Arabidopsis thaliana: one gene and its partner. The gene in region 2 interacts genetically with the main gene of each other region. Each region holds a gene or a part of one and is shown on either strand. Other genes may lie near its edges. The genes, in order: BRI1 and MYBL2.

Evidence for each region.
Region 1: changes in MYBL2 (region 2) and BRI1 impair growth when combined (synthetic growth defect), as found in Arabidopsis thaliana (one study listed by BioGRID).

The regions. Positions count from the first base shown.
Region 1 is NC_003075.7:18,322,755-18,335,541, reverse strand, and holds BRI1 (Leucine-rich receptor-like protein kinase family protein), read right to left. Parts: upstream 11,086-12,787; 5' UTR 10,717-11,085; coding exon 7,126-10,716; 3' UTR 6,711-7,125; downstream 1-6,710. Other genes in the region: WRKY13 (WRKY DNA-binding protein 13), read left to right, coding at 753-1,138, 1,339-1,680, 2,419-2,605; PLS (polari), read left to right, coding at 6,243-6,353. UniProt on the Arabidopsis thaliana protein: Receptor with a dual specificity kinase activity acting on both serine/threonine- and tyrosine-containing substrates.
Region 2 is NC_003070.9:26,792,372-26,802,144, forward strand, and holds MYBL2 (MYB-like 2), read right to left. Parts: upstream 4,159-9,773; 5' UTR 3,856-4,158; coding exon 3,816-3,855; exon of another isoform or gene 3,646-3,815; coding exon 3,519-3,645; intron 3,433-3,518; coding exon 3,012-3,432; 3' UTR 2,681-3,011; downstream 1-2,680. Other genes in the region: AT1G71020 (ARM repeat superfamily protein), read right to left, coding at 1-19, 111-227, 441-734; LPR2 (Cupredoxin superfamily protein), read right to left, coding at 4,830-4,883, 4,965-5,294, 5,365-6,489, 7,617-7,853.

The DNA of each region.
Region 1 (12,787 bases), on a different chromosome or scaffold from region 2:
GGAGTAGCAAAAAAAAAAACTGTTTTTAATTTCAAATGTGGTTATTCTTTCTTTTAGACATCAAATTCGAACCAATAATCTTAGTTTGGAAAAGCATAAGTGGAAAAATGTTTATAAGTCTGTAGTTTTCCCACCAACTTAGTTTTTTTTTTTTTGATAAAGACCAAATTAAGGTTCAAATATTGTGAAAGTTGCAAGGCTGCATAGGACATATAATAATGAAAAATATTTGAGTTAATGAATAATTTTCATGCATAGATCAAATTAGTCATTGTTATAACATTTCAACTACCTAAAAATTTTACGTATTGTTGTATACTGCTACCAAAACACAAAACTGTAAGTCTTTTCGCTTGATCCTATAATCGTTCTAAATTTCCAAAAAAAAAAGAAAAAAAAAAAAAAAAAAAAATCTAAAACCTCATAGTTATTTTAACCAAAATACAGACTTTATTAATATCAACAAACATTTTTAAAAAGACCCCTCATCACTATTATATTTCAAAATCAGGCGAGTACAAAACAAATATGAGCATTTTAATCACATGTAAATCTTCGAACAAAACCAATCCAATTGGACCCACCTGCACCTTTTCATTATCCAACATTTATATATTAATCGAAACACTCACATGGATGGATTGGATTGTCTCAACTCTCAACCCAAAATCAAACAAAATATCCAGCAAAACAAAAACTTTCTCTCTCACTGTCTCACACACACAATCTCACCTTCGTCAAGCTTTTGCGAGATGGGTGCGATAAACCAAGGAATAAGCTTGTTTGATGAATCACAAACCGTCATAAACCCTATTAATACCAACCATCTAGGTTTCTTCTTCTCTTTCCCTAGTCACAGCACCTTATCTTCATCATCTTCGTCGTCTTCGTCTTCTCCTTCTTCTCTTGTGTCTCCATTTCTTGGTCATAACTCCCTAAACTCCTTCCTTCATAATAACCCGTCTTCATTCATAAGTCATCCTCAAGATTCCATCAATCTCATGACCAATCTCCCCGAAACCCTAATCTCGTCTTTGTCCTCATCAAAGCAAAGGGACGATCATGATGGTTTTCTTAATCTCGATCATCATCGTCTTACCGGTAGTATTTCATCCCAAAGACCCCTGTCAAATCCATGGTAAGTAGTTACTTACGAAAATACTAAAATTAATCATTATTTTCAAAATAAGTATTTAAATATATAAACCAAAAGCTCGTATATTTCCCTACTAGTTACTTTTGCTTTATTGTACAGAATTTTCAATTAGTTTGAGGATGCACACATGACTCGGCTACTTATATATAAGTAACTAATGTTTATATGTTAATGTGGTTTAGGGCATGGAGTTGTCAAGCGGGATACGGAAGCAGCCAGAAAAACAACCATGGAAGCGAGATTGATGTTGATGATAATGATGATGAGGTTGGCGATGGTGGTGGCATTAATGATGATGATAATGGTCGTCATCATCATCATGATACTCCCAGTCGTCATGATAAACATAACACAGCGTCATTAGGCGTAGTTTCTTCTCTGAAGATGAAGAAGCTTAAGACAAGAAGAAAAGTGAGGGAACCTCGGTTTTGCTTTAAGACACTTAGCGAGGTTGATGTCTTAGATGATGGATATAGATGGAGAAAGTATGGCCAGAAAGTTGTCAAAAACACCCAACATCCCAGGTAATTTAATTTAATTTTATGATTTGAAATTGGTTCCGAGTCTTTCAATTCTCAGCCGTTCTTTAATTAAGATGACTACATATCAGTTCTTCCACTTTTTTGCCTCTCATGATTCCTTGAAGGTTAATGATGACTTCTCATAAGAATTTTACGGTCTTGATCAATCATCAGTTTTTTTTTTTCCAAGTTTTTAACGTAAACTAATATGATGAAAATTTGTAGTGAATTATGAGCCATGTAATGATTAATCATTCATTTACGATTTTTCTAAGGGCAATGAAAATTATTAGTAGAATCTTTCTGGTACGTTTCTCTGTATATATGTAATTAAGTATCAGTTCTGTTATAACAAAAACTTTTGTCCCTCTGGGGATTAGTAGCTATAGAAAAATAGGAAAAGAATATAACCGTTAAGAAAGGAAAAAAGTAATTTCATGTAGAAATATTTGAGTGTTATGTGAGAATGTGAGACATAATGGGGTTGGGTTTCTGTAAGATTCTTTCTCACATGTTGACATTTGACATTTACAAATAATAATGATTTGTTTAGGTAACTTGTATACTCATTTTGTAAAGTTTTATCATGAGCTTTGTGATAAAGTTCCATTAGTTGCCTTAATATCTGTTTGATATTATATCACTCTATATTCAACTATAACTAGTCTAACCAAAAATAAGACTTGTTTCCCATAAAATTTGATATAAGATTAACTAATATATATAATATGTGAATGGCAGGAGCTATTACAGATGCACACAAGACAAGTGTAGAGTGAAGAAGAGAGTGGAGAGATTAGCAGATGACCCAAGAATGGTAATCACTACTTACGAAGGAAGACACCTTCACTCTCCTTCTAATCATCTCGACGACGACTCTCTCTCCACCTCTCACCTGCACCCTCCTCTCTCCAACTTCTTCTGGTGATTTCAATTTGTATTTCCATTGAATCAACCAATATCAAAAATCAATCAACCTTGCCTTGCCTCAAACTAATTATCGTATTATATATTAATCATCAACACCTAGCTCGATAAAAAAAAAGTTACACATATATAACATGTTCTCGTTAGGAAACAGGTATGATCGATGTTTTTATATTTGTAATGTGGACGATGTCACCGTGGTTTGTTTGTGTTTGTAAGATGATTAATGTACCATTTCCAAATTGAGGACTATATAATATATAGTTGAATTGATTTTATAGTTACTCTGTTGGTTGGTTTGTGTGACATTATTTGGTATATAAATGTAGTCCACATTCGAAAAATTTAAAGTTTTTATCATTAAAATTGTACTAACAAAAATTTGGCCGAAAATGCTTTCTATTTTTGACAAAAGGAAATTTAAACTCTCCAAAAAAACGCAGCAAAGACAAATACAAAATTTCGCTCAACGATACCTTCAACAGCTAAAGGAAATATATTTCATTGGGCCTTAGTTTGTAATTGGTGGGCTTTTAAATGTATCTTATTTTAAACGGAGTCAACAGAAAATTATATTGTAATGAGTTCCAAAAAACAGCTTATTGAGTCTATGTTTCAAATTGATGGGCCTTATAATGGGCTTCTTTAAATTTTACACTTGTTCAATAAAGACAGATTACCATAATGAGCCTATAGACGAGGAAAATTCTATTGGGTTTAATGATAGACCCAAGTCCACGAATATAGCGATCACGTGACAAACCAAGAAATTCGACAAATGGATAAGCGCGTTTAAGCACGTGAGCGTCTCGACTCTCTCGATTCCCAAAAGTGTAATGTAAAACCTTAAATAGTGTAATACGTTGATCAACTTAGATTACGAAACCTTATTACGAAAAGAAAACAAAACTATTAAAGAAATAGAAATCATAAGTTACGAGGACATGAAAAGTTGTGACCCGCTTGCTCCGCCGAGTCCGAGGGAGACTCCCACGTGATTCCCTCGTGGACCGCACGTTCGCTACCTTAATCCAAGGTCTTAAATAATCATTTTCATAATACTGTATACTATGTATCAATGTAATTTAGTTAATTTATCTCAAAAATTGACACGATAGCCAATTGTGTTGTTACTCAAAGTATTTGCCATCATCAAATTTCTTATTTTTTTTCTTCTATTATATACTGATTTACGACATTACATATATATTTATGGACAAACTGATTCCATTTGCTAATTAGCTATTATCAAAAGCAAATTTTCCAATTATTTTACAAGGCTCTGTTAAAGCAGTTCAAACCATTGGAAAAAGTTAAGATAACGTAATCCTGACGCCCAAACATTAATTATGGCTTTAAAGAAAAAAAAACTTGTTGAAAGGAGACTGGGAATTAAAAACGAGAAAGCTGGGAGAAGCTGCGAGGAGATGAATATAATATTTGAAACTTCATTATACATTACCAAAATCTGAGCCGTCGCTTTTTGTTTCTTTGTCTCTTCGTCGTGAAAAGAAGGAAGATTCCTAGGTGAGATGAATCCAACAATTTCTTTGATTAAATTAGTTTAACACTATATCTTTATTTTAGTTAAGGTATTTTTTTGTAAGTTGTAAAGAGAGCCAAACATATGGAGACTAAATAACATATATTGACAAAAAAAAATATATATGCAGAGAAAGTATTATTCATAGACATAATTCGATTTAAGACTATGATAATATATATACAATACATATTAGAATAAGCTCTAGCATGCAATTTGACAGTAACTCGGTAAGAACAACTTTGACCGCTTGTTATCATGTGAAATAATAATATCTTGTTGATAGTCGTTACGTACATTTTTACAAAACATTATAAATCACAGGTAAACAAAAAATATGCAGAAATATTGTTATCCTTTGAGTCAATAGAGAACGTATTTACATAGTTTTTTCCACGACGACACATTTAACTAATCAACGTCGTTTTCAGAAGTCTTAGCTGTATATGAATGGCAGAGAGCTCACACGCGTGGAAATGGGTTTGTCTACATGTTTACGTACAAAACAAATTCTTAATTATTTTCTTTGTTTGTAGCTTTGTGTAGTTCGTACATCGTCGAAACCTCAGTTTCTAAACAATTTATTTGACAAACAAGCTTTAGCCCGTGCGGGAAGTTTTGTACGTGAGAAAGAAGCCTCGAGAATGAATAAAACTACGATAAGATTGATTCAACTTCAGATTTCCAACCCCATAACTAGGTATATATACATATATAAATTGATTAATGATTATGTATTTACGTACACATCGCAATCCTCCACTTATATGCCTTACAGAAAAATATCTAAATGCATGGACCGTCTTGCACTTGACCCATATTTACATATTTAGAGCAATTTTATATGTACATAATCAGATACATGACGACGTTTAAACGTGAATTATTGGTTTGATTGAAAGAAAAAGATCCTAAAATGATAGAATGGTTTTGTAATTATGTATTTTTAGTACAAATTGCTTAATTCCTTTGAATCGTAACCCTTTATGTGTTCAAGTACGCCCTAATTTTATCAAAATTTATGATAGGAAACAAAATTCTACCACCGTGTTATGTTTTTACTAATTTTTTTTTGTAGTTCCTATTAATTTTGTCATTTGCAACTCAGAATTTTTGTATTATAGTATAAGTATAATTTTTATGGATAGTGGCTTTTTTTGCATTGTGCGTATTCCTGTATTTAATTTTATGTGACTTGATTTCTTGATATCAGACAAAGAGCAATGAAACCCACGTACGTACCCAATAATTCCGCGTAACGAATAGTATTATTGACAAGTTGTCAAAATAATATATAAAATTTCTTAAGGCATATGAAAAAAACAAAATGTATTAAGAATATTTATTAGGAAGATAATAAATTAATTAAGAGAAGTGTATGGATGAGAAGGAAACACACGTGGGAGAGAGATGAGAGAGGGAAAGAGAGGAAGAGGTCAATTCGGCGGAGACAGGAAAGGGACGGCGGCCCACGGCGGAAGGAGACGTTGTTAGGGGAAGTTTCCGACAAGAACAGCTTGCATGCACGGTGGCCCACGTGCTCCGTACCCACCACCGTCGCGCGTGTTCCGCTTGATAGCTACTCATCTCTTCTTTTCCTTCTTCCACAGTTTCAGCGCGTTTGTTTATACGCGCCTATGTCAGTGTCTTGTCTAGGATGAATAATAGTGTATTGGTATGTATGTGCACGTATCCGTATCGCATTTGTTTCAAGTTTTTTTTTCTATAATGTTTCTTCGAAATCCATGATCATATAGTATATAAGAAGCATGTATTTATAATGTTCCACTTAATATATTAGTATTGGAGACTAAAGCGAACATATAAAACCCAAATAAACCTTTCTTTAAGTTTTATTAAAAGTCTAAACACTTGATTTGTGTTTTAGTTTGGGTAGTAGTGAGAAAAGAAAAATAAATAATCAAAAAGATTAAAGAAGAAAGAATTTGAAAGCAAGGAACACGAAATCCGAAGAGCGAGGGGAGCGAAGACAGTCCACGTAGCTGCAGAGAGAAAGAGAAGAGCACGTGAGGCACACGTTCCTTGTGTAAGACTTGTTGTGGTGATGTTGGCGCAGTGTCTCACTGAAACATGAATGAAACCCAGACTTTGTTTTAATTTCAGGCGAAGGTCCATTTCTCCATGTTATATATCAATCTCTTATTTATTAGTAGCAAAATTGTTTAAACTTTTTAAAATCCATTGATCACCCTATCATTTTCAATATCTACATACAATCTTATGTCTCGATAAAGGTTTATCTTTATCTTATTATGCAATACATATCCCTCCCATTTCTATATTGCAAATTATGACATCAAAAAACCATTCTTTTGATTCTACTTGGGCCAATAACAAAATCAATAGTAATGGAAAAAATAACGTAGATGGATATAAATATAGTCCAACGGTTCAATTTCATCAGTAATAAGTATATAGCAAAAAAAAAAACGTTTAACTCAGCATAGTTCAAAAGGGACCACATTGGTCATGTAAATATAACATCCATAAAAACAAATTTAAGTCTCATCTATTCTCACTTTCCCATTCCCGTGCAGTGTGAATTCCCCAAATTAATTCCGACAATAATGAATTAATAGGTCACGTGCATTTACATGAACATGATCAGTCGAAATTTAATACACATTGGCTCTTTGTTTCTTCATGATTCATTATAAATTTAATTTGTTAGCAACGTAGAAATTTCCATAGAACTAAAAACGAAAACATTACAAATCCCTCCCCAAAAAACTGTATATTTACATATTCTTAACAAAGTTATTACTTAGTTCTATTCTCCACCACCCCCAATTCGACCGAGCCCGAAAAAAAAAACATCCGTCTTATGTATAAATAACATAGATACATACACTTAGCATATAGTAGAAAATACAAAAAAAATAGACCCAAGGAAAATCGGACTGACCCTTAGATGATTTTGATGTTCAAAGAATCTGCTTTGGCTCTGTTTCTAACTCTCATAATTTTCCTTCAGGAACTTCTTTTATACTCATATCAACCATCTCTATTGTACTGAACCCTCCATCCTCTATTGATCTGATCGTTGACTGTGAATCTATCCCTGACCCGGCTTGTATCTCCTTAAACATGGCCATGACTTGTACCATTGTCGGTCGTCTCCAAGCCCGATCATCCAAACACGCAACCGCAACTTTTAAATGTTGTAAAAGTTCGATCTCTAATGCTGGATCTTCCTTCATAAGCTCGGGGTCAAACACATCGCTAATCCGCAGTTTTGCGTGCTGTTTCACCCATCCAACAAGGTTGTTATCTCCAAAATCCGGTGAATCCGTTGGCCGTTTACCCGTGAGTAGCTCGAGTAAGACCACACCGTAACTATAAACGTCTCCTTTTGTTGAACACCTGAAACTTTGGTAATACTCTGGAGGAACGTAACCCGGTGTACCAGCTAATGTACTGACGCTTAAATGCGTATCCATCGCACTCATCAGCCTCGCCATGCCAAAATCTGAAACCCGAGCTTCCAAATTCTCATCAAGCAACACATTACTGGATTTCATGTCTCTGTGGATGATATGCGGACTGCAGTTGTGGTGAAGGAAAGCAAGCCCTCTAGCTGATCCTATCGCAATCTTCCGCCGTGTGGACCAGTTTAGTTTCACCCCAGCTTTCTTGGGGTCGTGCAAAACATCTTCTAAACTTCCATACTTCATAAACTCATACACAAGAAGCCGCTCGTCTCCAACTTTGCAATAACCAAGAAGAGGCACAAGATTTCGATGTTTGATCTTCCCAATGGTTTCCATCTCCGCCATGAACTCTCTATCACCTTGACCGCTAACATGAATCAGTTTCTTGATAGCCACCGCGCTTCCATCTTTCAAAATCGCTTTGTAAACATCTCCAAACCCACCAGAACCAATCAGACTATCATTATGGAAACCATTGGTAGCCTGAAGAAGATCCGCAAACGTGAGCTTCCGCAATGGCTTCTCGAAAGCAGCAAGATTGATACTCAAGGCTTCTTTCACACCAGTCAGCTTCCAATTGGTGTTGTTAGCAGTTCTATCGCCAGAGTTTCCATGTCCTTCCGCATACATCTCCAACTCCGCCTCTTTCTTTCTCCGTCTCTTCCTCATCTCTCTACCAACAAGGATCAGCCCAAATATACACACAAAAGAGAACAACAATCCCATCGCCACACTACCAGCAAGGGACGCTGGTCTCCTTCCATGAGATCTCTGATGATGAGCATAACCGTCTGCATTTGAAGGATCACACCGCGGAAGAGGATAACCACAGAGACCAGGATTGTTCAAGAACTTAGCCGGTGGAAAAGTCTCAAACTGACCCATCTCAGGAATCGGACCAGACAAATTATTATTCGACAAATCGATTTCCGTAAGCATAGTAAGAGCTGACATAGCCTGAGGAATCCTCCCATCGAGCTTATTGCTTGAAAGATCAAGAATGTTTAAACCTCTTAGATCACCTACCTCATCAGGAATCGAACCAGAGATATCGTTATGACCCAAATTGAGAATAAACAGATAAGGCATCGAACCAATCTCCTTCGGTATGTATCCAGACAACATGTTGTAAGACATGTCCAGAAACATCATCGAACCATTGTTATCAAACGTCGGCGAAGTGTGACCTCCATAGACTCTGCTAGTGATATTACAAGGGTTCCTCGTTGAAAGCCGGTTTAATTGTTCGGATCTGATTCCTTGAAACTCAAGTAAATTACCAGCTCCATGACACTCTTTCTTCATCCCATCGTTTTTGATATAAACGTACCTCTTACCGGCGATGAAATTGGCAGCGATTTTCCCGGATTGTTTAAACATCGCCGCCGGAATCGTTCCATTGAAGAGATTGGTGTTGAGATCAAGCCAGATTAAGCTTCTGCAGTCGCCGAGCTCAGCCGGAATGTTCCCGGAGAATGAATTGTTGCTTAGCTTGAGGATAGCGAGATTCTCTAACCGGCCAATCCATTTCGGAATCTCACCGGTTAACCGGTTATTCGACAGAGAAATCCAGTTAAGATTGGTACAGTTACTTAAACCGGAAGGGATTTCACCGGTTAAATCGTTGAAGTCGAGGATCAGAGTCTCTAAGGTCTTGACATACATGAGCTCCTGAGGGATCTCTCCTTCTAACATATTCAGCCATAGTTTCAGATCTCGAAGCTTCGATAGAGAGCCTAAGCTCGAAGGGATTGTCCCGGAGAGGTAATTGAAGCTCAAGTGAAGCGAAACCAGCTCAGAACAGTTGCTTAAAGTCGGTGGAATCTTCCCGGTGAAGCCATTGTTCTGAAGGTAAAGCTCCTGCAGAGTGTTTTTAGGGTTCTGGCAGAGATTTGGGAGAATCGGACCGGAGAAATTGTTGGAGCTGAGATCTAACGTTAGCAACGAAGCGGATAGATTCGTCAGAGATTCCGGTAATTCGCCGGAAAACTCGTTGAAAGACAGATCAAGTACTTTGAGTCCTCTCATCTTCAACAACGTATCCATCGGTAACTCGCCAGAGAAGTTGTTACTCGACAACGCGAGTGATTCGAGAAGAGAACATGAACCGAAGAATGGAGGAACCGCACCGTAGAAATGATTTCCAGAGAGATCGAGACCAGTGAGTGTATCACACGCGCCGGAGAGAAAGTCAGGGATCTCGCCGGTGAATTTGTTCTCGGCCAGAGAGAGGTATTGGAGACTTTTAAGCGGTAGCGGAGGGATTGGTCCGACGAATTGGTTACTAGAGATGTTCAACAACTTGAGCTCTGTGCAAGTAGAGATAGCACGGGAGAAATCGCCGGATAATTTGTTCCCGGAGATGTCAAGATGTTGCAGAGCAGAGCAATCTCCGAGGAAAGGAATCCCAGTGGAGAAATTGTTGGAGGAAACATCGAGAAACTCGAGATTCACGCAGCGAGAAACATCGACGTCTCCACTGATTTTGTTTCCGCTAATCGCTAAATGTTTCAACTCTCCACACCCATCGGAGAGAACCCAACCAACGACGTTAGCACCGGAGATTGAATTCGCAGAAAGATCCAGAACTTCCAAGCTGTTTAGCTTCAACCCACCTGAAACTTTCCCGGGAAAATCAAGTGTATTGGAAGAGACGTTAAGAAACTTCAGACCGGAGCAAGAACCAAGGCTTGTTAGAGTCGTTACAGGACCCGAAAGAGAGTTTCTAGATAGATCCAAGCTGGTTAAAGAAGCAGAGCACTTGAAGCCAGAAACGGAGCCATTGATGTGTGAGTTTGAGAGAAACAGAGACTCTAATCCGGTGAGAGACAGGAGAGACGAGGACACGGCACTGAATCCGACGTTGAGAGGCTTGGAGCTGAGATCAATCGAAGTAACTTTGTCGTCTCTGCAAGTAACGCCATCGAAAGTACACGGGTTTTTGTTGGAAGACCAGTCTGGGAGAAGATTCTTGTCAGGAAGAACGTCTTTGAAGCTTATAAGCTGATGGATTTCTCTGTATAAAGACTGAGATGGTGAAGCTTGAAATGAAAGAGAAAAGAAGGAGAAGAAGAAGAGAGTTGTTACAGAGAGAAAGAAGCTTGAAAAAGTCTTCATTTCTCAAGAGTTTGTGAGAGAGAAAAGTGTGGGAAGTAGAGAAGATGAAAGGGGGAATCTAGGGTTTTGGTTCCACCATTAGAGAGGAAGTGGAAGCTCTAGAGATAGAAAGAGAGAGATTGAGGAAAGCAGAAAGAGAGGAGAGAGAGAAGAGAGTCAAAAGACAGAAGAAGGAAGATGGAAGAAGGTATTTATCAAATGGTGAAGGGAAGAGTGGTCACAGCTGTGCACTCACATGCCATGTTACCTCTTCTTCTGATTATTATAAAAATTATATATATTAATTTCAATTTCGATAACAGATACAAACAAATAATACTACTTTTAATTATTGTATGTGGTTATAAAAAAAAAGTTAATTAATGCAAGAGGATACTAAAAATAAATAAAATAATGGCATCACAAAATCCTTAATCTCATAGTAGCTTTTGTTAAGTTTAAGTTAAAGAAATGAGGTATTTTGTCTGTACATGAGAGAGGTGTTTAATTAACGTGAGATTAGGGGATGGGATCAAGTCTTCTGCAAGCTACATATCCTACTTACCCTTTTTAAACTCTTCTTAAGACTTTATTGTAACATTTGTATACATTTTACCCCCAACCACCTATCTCTTGATTCTCTTCTCAATATTTTTAAAACACAAGTCTAATCTGATCTTCTGTTTAGTGCTGGGTTTTTTTTTATAATAAGCATATATATTCATTGATTTTTATTTTTATTAAAAAAAAAATCAAGATAATTCATGTTATATTTTTCTTCTTACTTGGTTGGATCTTGATCGGTGAATTATTGGTGTATGCACTCACTGTCACCCAATATGCAAAACTTTTGATTCTGATATAAAGATGCCAGCAACTAACTAATTCCACATTTATGGACTAATGGTTAAGTAGTGTTCAGTAAAAATGGAACATAGTATAAGCATCTAAATTTCTTTTATATTGATACTCATATACAACAAGATTTGGAGCATTCAATGTGATAGTTTGAAAGAGTTCAAATTTACTTTAATGTTAAGGTAATACATACATATTTTTACATGAATTTCACACCAACCACAAACATTTCACATTAACACTCTTCTCTTGTTCACTCTCACTTGTATCTGAAAGAAAAACTAAAAATAAAGTGGAGGAGAGATTGTCTCTATAGCTTTTTGCAAAAGAGAAACAAAAAAAAAAACGAACGTACGTGTGAGAGACGATTGGGACATGAGTGTCAATTAATGGCAGATTCCATCTCTTTTTAATAATCAGAGAAGTATTATTATTAGTTTTCGATAAACCTTTTCCCACTAATTAATCCCTCCTTTCACTTTTAAACTGCTTTCTTTTTCTCTGGCACTTACATAGACGGATAGACCAAACTTCTCTTAAAGCCTTATTCTATTATTTTTTCCTTCTGTCGCAGTTTTATAGAGATATTTCGTAATTATGTACAAACCCTACGTGCAGCTGTACCCGGTGTATACATAGTTACATAATTAACAAAAAATTCACTTTATACACATAGTTTTGGGTAACAGGAACTTGACTACTTGAGTAGTAAACTTTTCAATTAAATTCGAGATATGTTACTATCACTTTAACTTTTGTAGAGAAAATGTCGTCTGCAATGGTAACTGGTTTGAAGGTTCAACTTTCAGCGAATAATACTGCGATACCATTTTCAAATAAAGAAGGAAGATCATAGAGAATGACATTTGTGTAACTATCTATCGCAAGTGTAACACTTTTTTTGGAAGGTTTGTATAAGTACAATTGAACAGAAAAACAAACAACCTGATAGAATACTATATTGGTACAAGTAACTTTTTAAATACAAACTGAATGAAAAGTATGTTTAGTGATGTATTAATTTCGTATAATAGAACATTTTATTCTATAATGTCATCATAATCAAGCAAAACGCCAAAATAGTGTAATGATTCTAACTTCCAAAAAAGGGACGAAACTGTCCTCCCCACACTCTCATTTATAAGCGCTCGTGTGACAAATCACCCACGCTCTCTGCTCGCGCGTCAGACATACGTGAACACAAAACGGCGTTGTTTCTACATCGAGCCACCAT
Region 2 (9,773 bases):
GTAATCTTGCTAGTTCCACCTAATCACAAGCAAAAAAAAACCCTTAGAAACACCTCCATGGATAGGAAAACCAAATCTTCATACATTCTACATAATGAACAAACTTTTACCTGTTCACGGACTTCGTCAGAGATATCATATCTATCATATGTCAAATCACCTAATGCTTTCTCCAGCTTCCATGTAACACATTGGAACTGGAATGAGATCCTCTTGGCTGCCCCATCCTTCAATCAAAATCACACATCAAAGTTTAGAGAGCTCCTCATGTATATATTAATAATGCTCTTCACTACACAAATGTCAACAATAGTATCTTCCAATCTAAAAAAACTAAAAACAAATTCTTCCTATAAATTACGTTCCTGCCATGGCGAGACCAAATCTTCGTGAAATCACAAATCCATTTTCAATCGTTGAGAATGGTTTAGAATGCTTACAGAGGACTCGCGAGCTTGGAAACTAGTAGCTGAAGACAAAAGACGCTTCGCGGCTTGAAGTCCCACCACAAGATCAGACCACCAATCACATTCATGAGAATTCAACGAAGAAGAAGCATCAGATTCCGACGGCGGAGAAGAATCCCTGATTTCCTCAATCAAATGCGTCAGGAGACCGACTCGTCGCGCGAGATCGGAACAATCCTTCTTAAACAAACCAAAATTCCCCGGAATCTCATTGATTTCAGCAATAAGACCGATGAGAGAATCGGGAGTGATAGCTCCACCAGCCATTACGCCGTCTCACACGGCGGCTTAAAATTCGAATTTTTGTGACTCGCTCTCTCTCTCTCGCTGGCTCGCTTCTGACTCAGAGATGCGTCTCTATCGCTTTTATGTATCCAACGAAGCCATGTGGCGAAAAAGGATAAGTCGCTGTTACGACACCGTTTTGGTTTTAGTGTTTTTTGTTTTAAACTTTTTATCTAACTCTAAAAATGGTTTTTTCTTTTCTTTTTAGTTTACTGGCTTTATATTTTTAGATAAAAGTTTATGTGATACATTTAAATAATACAATAGAACAAACTAGATAATTGAGAGCGAGATTCACGGTGCAAGTAGAGGTTGAAGAGAAAATGATACAGTTGTCAAAAAAATAATCAATTATTATCATTTATATTAGATCAAAACTGTATAATAGAAATGAACTATACTTTTAAATTCAATAAAAAAATCCACTTTTCTATTTATTGAAGAAAATGGTTTGTTGTGTGCTTAGTTGTAAAGTAGATCTTATATGATTGTATTTTATAGTTGTGTTGAAATTTATGTTGGAGTTATGAAATTTATCTGTATGTATTATTTATGTAATCTTAAATGGTAATAAATAGTCAAATTAGTTATTTTTTCTATTTGAAAAGAAACTAAGATAAAATTTCCAGGCCTTTAGATGCATTGTATTGACATGTGTTTCTAGTATATGATCTGTCTTACCCTAGTGTTTATTAAAAGATGGAAAAAATCTTCTTTGTAATTAACTAAATATAGCTTTACATGTTTTATTTTCCCTTAAAAATAACTTTGTATGTGTAAGAAAATTTAATATCTCTTACAGCAAAAATGTTCTAGAAAAATTATGTCAATTAACATAATTTTGGTGAGTATTATATAGCCTGCAAATGGAACGGTCGAACATGACCCGGTAGATCGAATTTTAACAACATTTTAGATAATTTGAAGCATGTATACAAATTGGGACCTATAATTTTCTTAAAACTGTTTTACCACAGTTTAGTATACTTTTGATTAAAATTTATAAACATGACTTACATATAGTTTGTGACAGTCTTGTATTGAAAAGTTATCTCGGTTTAACAAAAGAAAGGTTCAACCACGACATCCACATCATATCGGCCGACGTCCATGCCCGTGACTTCTGCGTCCTACATAACAACCGATAGCAACTTGAAAAATAGACAACATTATCTTTTAGACATTTTTGGCAAGTTTGACTGGCTGGTTTCATAATTATTTTTGGACATATGCAAAAATAAAAAGATCTACATAAAGAAGAGGGTATTCGTCTGAATCAGATGAAGATTAATAACCTTGAAGTGTTTGATGAGGCATGTGATTTTTGCTTGCACATCCACACACAACTCTCCATTAACCACAATACTCACCGTTATTTCTGAAATTTATGGTGTAGTTGTACTTGCGGAACAATATGAAAGTGAAGGTGAGATCAGAGTTTATACAGTTGTGGAAACAACTTCTTTGATGGTTGTAGATCCCGCAATCGTAGAAACAACCTTAATGATGATTGTAGTTTCGATGATAAATATTGGTCCATTTTCTTAGCAAACAATCTCCTCTTCTATACTTGTCAAACATTCATATTCTTTGGTCATGCAATTTTGTTTAATATTTGATGATGTTTGAATAGCGGTTGTACAAATGTATTTACTTTCTAATTTTTATTTTAAGCATGTATGAAGATACTTTAAACAAATTCATTGTGAGTTTTGTTCAAAATATATGTGAACGTGTTTGTACTAGTTGGTGCATATTTGACCGTATAGTCTCCATGCTTAAGACATCCTTAAATCGATACATTTCATTATTTTATAAGTTAACTAATTTGCTTCCTTTATATCTTTAGTAAGTAATTTTCGTATTTATAGATTCCTTTGTGCGAAACGAGAGTTTGAAATTGCTTTTGAATAAAGAGTAAAGTGTAGTTTGGAGGAAAATGAACATACTTGTCCATTTTAAGAGAGTTAATTAATACTTCCCGTCAATGTGCACCGTTAACATTGCTGTATTAGCTATAATTTCTTACAGCTTGATTGATCAAATAAGCAGCGGTTATCGTCGGTTAGTTATTAACGATCTACTATAATACTAATCACTGAAAACAGAACCGGACATTTAAGAGAATAGTTGTTCAATGACCAGCCGGTCCAATTCAGGATTAACATATTTCAAACATCGTTATACCATCTCTCTAGTGAATATTATAATATGTGCATTTGTAATATAACAAATGTGTACAAACAAATACACCATTTCTCATCGGAATAGAAGAAGCGTTTCTTGACCTGTTGAACCATTGGTAGAGGATTCGCTAGAGTCCTGAAGGCAAAGAGCTGGCAAAGAAGTCACGGCCGGGATGAGACCAATGTTTAGGTCAGGCAAATGACTTCGTCCGGTACTAGTACTATCCTCCGAGCAATTGGTACTTGGAATGGGCAAAATTGTTACACCACATGATTCGGATACCGAAGAAGATTGATCACTAATAATCTTGGTTTCATGTTCCTTATGTGAAGAATGGAGGTGACGTCTAGAAATGTAGTTGGTGTGATGGTGGAGACGATGATTGGTTGGGTCGATTCCCATTTTTACGAGCTTCCTTTTTAGGTAAGTTTCCCAATGGATCCTAACTTCGTTGTCGGTTCGTCCTGGCAATCTTCCCGCTATCAATGACCATCTGAAAAAACATAACATCAAAATGATTATTAGCACGTACCGTTCACATTACTATTGAATTAAAGAATAAGAAGAATGAATACGAACCTATTGCCAAGAAGTGCATGAAGCTTGAGGATGAGATCGTCTTCATCTTTTGAGAAGTTGCGTTGTTTAACTTCTGGCCTTACGTAGTTTCGACCTCTCAATCGACATCTCTTACGGTGTTGCATACCTAAGAGAAGGGATCAAAATTTAACAAATTAAAACGATATATCGTCACAAAGTCACGTATGTACACATGTATATCTATGAATTCTACATCGACCTCTTTAAACTATGAATAATTTGGTGATGTGAATAGCAAAACACATGATTAATACTGTTTAAAGAGAAAATAGTTACCGGAAGGTGGGGAGAGAGCACGAAGGCGGGTTTTGTTCATGTCTTTTTCAAAGTGAGATTGGTTGAGTTATGTCTTTTTTTAAAACTGTTGATAGATTGTGAGGTGGTTTGCGAGAAGAAACTGATATATAGGATTAGGGGATGGCTTGAGGAGGTTTGACTTGGACTGGTGGGTTGAGAGAAGCGTGCATGCTCAATCAAACTATTAATGAACGAGGAAGAACAAGAAGAATACATCAACCTTGTTAATTGGTCCCACATTTAGGAGTTGAAACAAATAAAAATTGGTCCCATATTTGTTCAAATCCATTAGAATTTGTGGAATCATGAATGTGGAAGTGTGTCGCATTTAATTTGCCTTACCAATACCAATCCAAATCTCGCTCTTATCCACATTTTCGTAAAATATATGTACGGCTCCGATAGATACCTTTTGTGAAATATCAAAGATGTGTGTGTGGTATCAATAATAGATTCACTAAAATATATATTAAGCAAGAAGAAGACGAAGAAGATATTTGACTAGTGGCTCAAAATTATTTGGATGCATTATTTGATAAAATATCTGAAGCTTCCGAATATGACATGAAAATAAACAAATTAAGAGAAAATAGGAAACCATGAAATTAAAGAGTGTAGGTTCAGGAACAGATAAGGGAGAAACATGGGAGCATTCAATTGAATTTGACTGGTGGTTAGGACTTTGTATACGAGGAATTTTCTAATTTCACTCACCACTTCCCTATCTCACTTACCATCTACTCCAAAATCATATAAGAAGCAAAAGAGTTTTGTTATTGGGCCCGTTAAAGCCCGTAACTGTTAAAAGCCCATTAACAAGCTGCTTCTAATCTCCGAGGCCAAGTGAAAAACAATGATAGAGATATAACATCAATCCAATCGAATTATCTTTTAACACTTTCTGTATAAGATATTTATGTAATCTGAAATCTCAATCTATATCAACTCGTTTGTATTCTGCACTCGTAATTGTAAATTGTTTTCGTTTTAGAATTATAGCACCATTGCAAAGGGCCTCATCATCATATTGTCTTCATGGTCCAATATCTGCAATGCCAATATCATACAGTTAGTTCTAAAAGAAAAAGCTAAATTCGTCATCAACTTTTTAGTATTTTACCAACTTACGTGACAGTGGTAAACATAGCCTGGCTCTTGAGTTGCGTCAAAGGAGTAAGATTCGTTTGAGTGAATGTAAGAAAATCTAACGAGTATCTTCGTTACATGTCCCGGCATCATCTTGAATACGTTTTTCCATCCCCGCTCGTGTACCGTAACCGCGGTCTTGTTCCCTCGTGCGTATTTGCTAATCTCACACTTGACGGCATCGTTTCTTTTAGTCATGCACTCTATGAACTCCTCACTCTTCACCAATGCCGTTTGCTCCAATACTTTAAACAATCCCAAGTGAATGTGCAACGGATGGTTATCCTCGGTTAAGTTTATCACTTCCCACACCTTCATTATTGTAAGCATTAAAGATTTGAACTATACGGTTAGTGAATAGTGAAATTTTGGTTATAAATACCTCGCTTGTGCCGATTTTTGGAGTTTCGGTTACGGGAGCGTTGTAAGGCAGACCGTTGATGTATAGATGTGTTGGCTCGTCAATGCTTGACACATACTCGAACATAGCAATGTAACGTGTACGTGTGGAGGTTGATACATGAGCAGGAGGGTATTCAATTAGCTTCTTCGGAATAATCGACGTGTCAACTTCTGATTTGTAGTTGATTATAAACTTCATGACTTTGCTGTTCTCTTCCGTGACGGGATCTCCCGACGGGTAAGGATAAGGTGCATTGTTGGCAAGAATTGCCGTTTTCGATGTTGACTTTGAAAAGTCAACGAGTACGTCGACAATCTCCGACGGAGCTAGGAGAACAGATTTGGTCGATACTGGTTTCGCTAGATAAGCGGAATCGGAACCAACGACAATGAAGTCGAGACCGTTGGAGAAGAAGAACCGGAAGAACCTTGCGTTACTAGCGTTTGTGATTCGAAATCTATATTTCCGGCGGCGGACGGTTAATCTCGGCCATGCTTTACCGTTCACAATGATGGCGTCGCCGAAATACTCTGGCTGCCATTGTGGATGAATCGTTGGATTGTTCCCTGTAGCGTTCATGTAAATGGAACCATCTTTACGAAAAGATCGGTCAAAGATGACCAAAGGACGATCGAATTCGCGTCCGGTAGGTAACCGAAGAGGCGATTCGACTGAGCTATGACGGAGAATGTAAGAGCCTAACAAACCGGCAAGAAGGTTGACTCTGGTCAACCCTGCCGCGTGGTCATGGTACCACATGTTTCCAGGTTGTTGCTTGTTGACGTAATGTGTAGTCTTTTTGGTCCATTTGGAACCAGTTTCTTTGAAACCAGCGGTGAACCATGAATCTGCATTTCCATCGCTAGTTGGTTCGTGGATACCTCCGTGCAAGTGAACCACCGTGGGAATGCCGCCGTGTTTAGGGATTGCCGGAGAGATTGTTGGGTCCCAAGGGAGGATATGATGTAAAGGGAGGTGATTTCGCCACGTCACGTAGGTGTCGACGCCATAAACAGCTTCTATTGTTGGTCCAGGAACTGTTGCTGAACGCTTTGATGTACCATATGCGAACACTGGCGTGGCAGGCAAGTCTCTGTGGAATTTCTGTACTTCACAATGATTTAACTCATATCAGTGTGTGACAGAGTTAGAGAAATTCAAAAACTTAAATCATTCGAATCATTAGCAGAGTAATAAAATAGTTTAAAGGAACAGAGCACAATTAGCTAGGCCAAAGTGGTAGAAAAGCAATCATAATTATATAGTTAGTGGGTAATAACTTTCTATCAATTAATCATTAGATTTGATGATGTTCTTAGTATAATTTATCAGAACAAAACTTAAAGAGCTTATAGAAACTATAAAAAAAATGTGTATTCATTCGGTAGGAGAGCAAAATAATATTAAATTTGACTAGTTATAAAAGAGCACTGATTCGTCAGTACTATAAACCAATAGATATTTTTCTCAAGAGGACAAATAAGTGAGAGGATAAGAGTGGAGTACACAAGATGAATCAATTCCAAATCACTTTACCAAAAAAGAGCCGTAGCCAACTAAAAAGCACTTAAGTTTTCACTGATCTATACGATTTCGAATATTTAATGTTAATTTTTGTCATTAATGAGTTTAGATTAGTTTATGAACAAAGAGGAATTTGAGTATTCATTCGGTGAAGGGCAAATAATATTCAACATGACGAGTGATAAAAAGTATACAATTATTAATACTTTTTCTCAAAGACGACAAACAAGTGAGGGGACAATAGTGTGAACACAACACGAATCTATTCTAATCACTTTACAACCTAAGAAGAGCCGTAGCCAAGTAAAAAGCAAATTAACTTCACTAATCTTATACGATATCGAATTTAATGTTAATGTTTTTCATTAAGGAGATAATGTTCAACATTAGTTAGTCGGCTTAAGTTGGTCAAGAAAGTTAATGAGTCTATTTTTTTGCATGTAATACAGGTGTAAATCACTAAATGATGGTTATTTGAATTTTCTATCTAAATATTTTGGCCATTTATAACCTCATGACAGAAATGGAAGATGATCTGTTTTCACGAACGACTATAGACTGGAAATTTAATTTAATAACATACCAAATATAACTTCAAGAAAACAGAGAAAACAAGAGGAAAATATATAATAGAGGAAAGAAATTAGAAAACAAGGAAACAAAAATTAGAATATAAGGAAAATGAGAAGAAGGAAAGAATTAAATACCCATTTCTTGAAGAACATGCCTATGTGAAGAGATTTGGGTTTGAGGAAGCCATTGACGAAGTGGTAGCCATGAAGTGTTGGTATATGAGGAAGCTTGTCAACGAACATCTCAAGCTTCCCAAGATTAAACAGTCGCTCCTCTTGCTTTATGCCTCCTTCGTCTCCGGTTACGAGCCATGCCATCGTTACGATTAGAAGCAACATGTCTCTGGTCATTCTCCTCCGAGAAGGCTCCATGTCTTTGTCCTTCACGAGCTGTCGAAATTATATGAGAAAAGTCAAGTGTGTGTGTGTGTTTGTATGTGTGGAATACTTAAAAGTTGAGGAGAGAAGTTGAAGAAGTTCTTTGGGGTTTTGCGTATTTATGCATACGAGTGTGTGGTGTCAAATAACTTTGTTGTTCTTTGCTTTCATTCTCTTGACTATTGAGTCGCTACTTTCCTAGAATTTATCTTCCAAAAAGGAATGGTTTTTTTTTTAATTAGTAAGCTTCTACATTATAAAACTAGAATTTGAATATTATATGTACATGACAAGAGTATTGATTTTTCTTAAAAAATGAATATATATATATACGTATATAATATATCCATTAATTATATGGTTTATATCTATCAAAAATTAACTGAAAATTAAACAGGGTTCATACTTCATAATTCTTTTTGTGAATAACAAGGTTAATAGTTCTGTCTTCTCAAATGGATCTTTTACGAAAAAATCAACATTCTTCTAATGGAACTAATACAAGAAAGAAACCATGGAAACTTTTGGGCCTAGTTCGTCCACTATATTTCGTCCCGTTATTAAGATATTTTCTCTAACTTACGCGTTACAAAAAAAATTAGAATGAGTTTTTCCAATCTCTCAAAAATTGTCTTAACCATGTTATCGTTTTAGCTCCTTCAGCCTCCCGTAACATGCATTATCGCAGACCTATAATGGTTAAAGCTAAGGTTATCATCCAAGCTTGTGGGAGGTCTCACAAACATTCCTTCACTAAACAGATCTTTATTCGCATGTCCAAACACCAAATTTCAACCATTGAAATTTGTAGTTATGTTTGCCTTAAAGGTCGAACCATTTCTCTGCGAGTTAGCCGAAATCTAGCAAACCTAATGTTCTCTAAAACTAATTCTTTTTGTTTTTTCTGTTTTTTTTTATAAACTTTTTCTTCATTAATATTGAAAGTAGCGAAAAAGTAACCCATCAGTCTATAAAAGACTGACAATATAAAATATACCTAGCCAGGCCCAAAATGAACCCAGCATCAACAAATAATTTTTCAAAAGGGAGAATCAAAAACAGCCCAAAAACCTAACATATTCTTTATTTGTTACAAGTTGGAACTATAGTTCCTTTTAAACTTCTCTTGATGCTACTCCAAAGATTATCATCTAGCATGAGTTCTAACGTAAAAAACACGCAAATAGTGGTTATACATATATATATATATATACTCTATGCTTTTCATTTGAATACACATCATATATTATACAACTACAATATATATTCATGCTTTTAAAAAATAATTCAGACAAATCCAAGAAACCTAAAAATTAAATTTAACAAGAAAATACACCAAATTAACTTTTTGAAGAGTGTGAGGAAAAAAATCAAATTAAACCAAAATTAATCAATTTGACTCTGAATCAACAAAATTTAAAACAAAATCAACCATTATATATACAAAGTTCCTATTATATACAGATTTTGTGATCAATCCAGTTCTACAAATTTCAGGTTTGGTTCGTTTTTGGTTTCACAGATAATTGCTAGTACTATTGACTTTTGAGCCTGTCTATGTTTTGGTGTTCCTAGTCAAAATGACTGGAAGCCGTCGATGTCTGGGGTACTGTACACGTGGAGGTTATCCAAAAGCCCATCTCCCACCTAGCTAAAAATGCGGTTGTCGCCATCAAACGACGATTTTACCTTAAGTCCCACCTTGATATGTTCAAACGCGCGTTTGCGTTTTCCCTTCGTGTGCCGCTTCTCATCTCTCCATTTGTTTGCGTCCTTTTCACAGTTTCAAATCTAACATATCCATTTTTGTGTTTCAACTTTCGAGTTATGCGAAGTCATAATTTAATAATCAGTCATATCAGTTTCGTCCCAAACAGTTGATTTGAAATATCCAGCGAGATACTTAAATGTCAT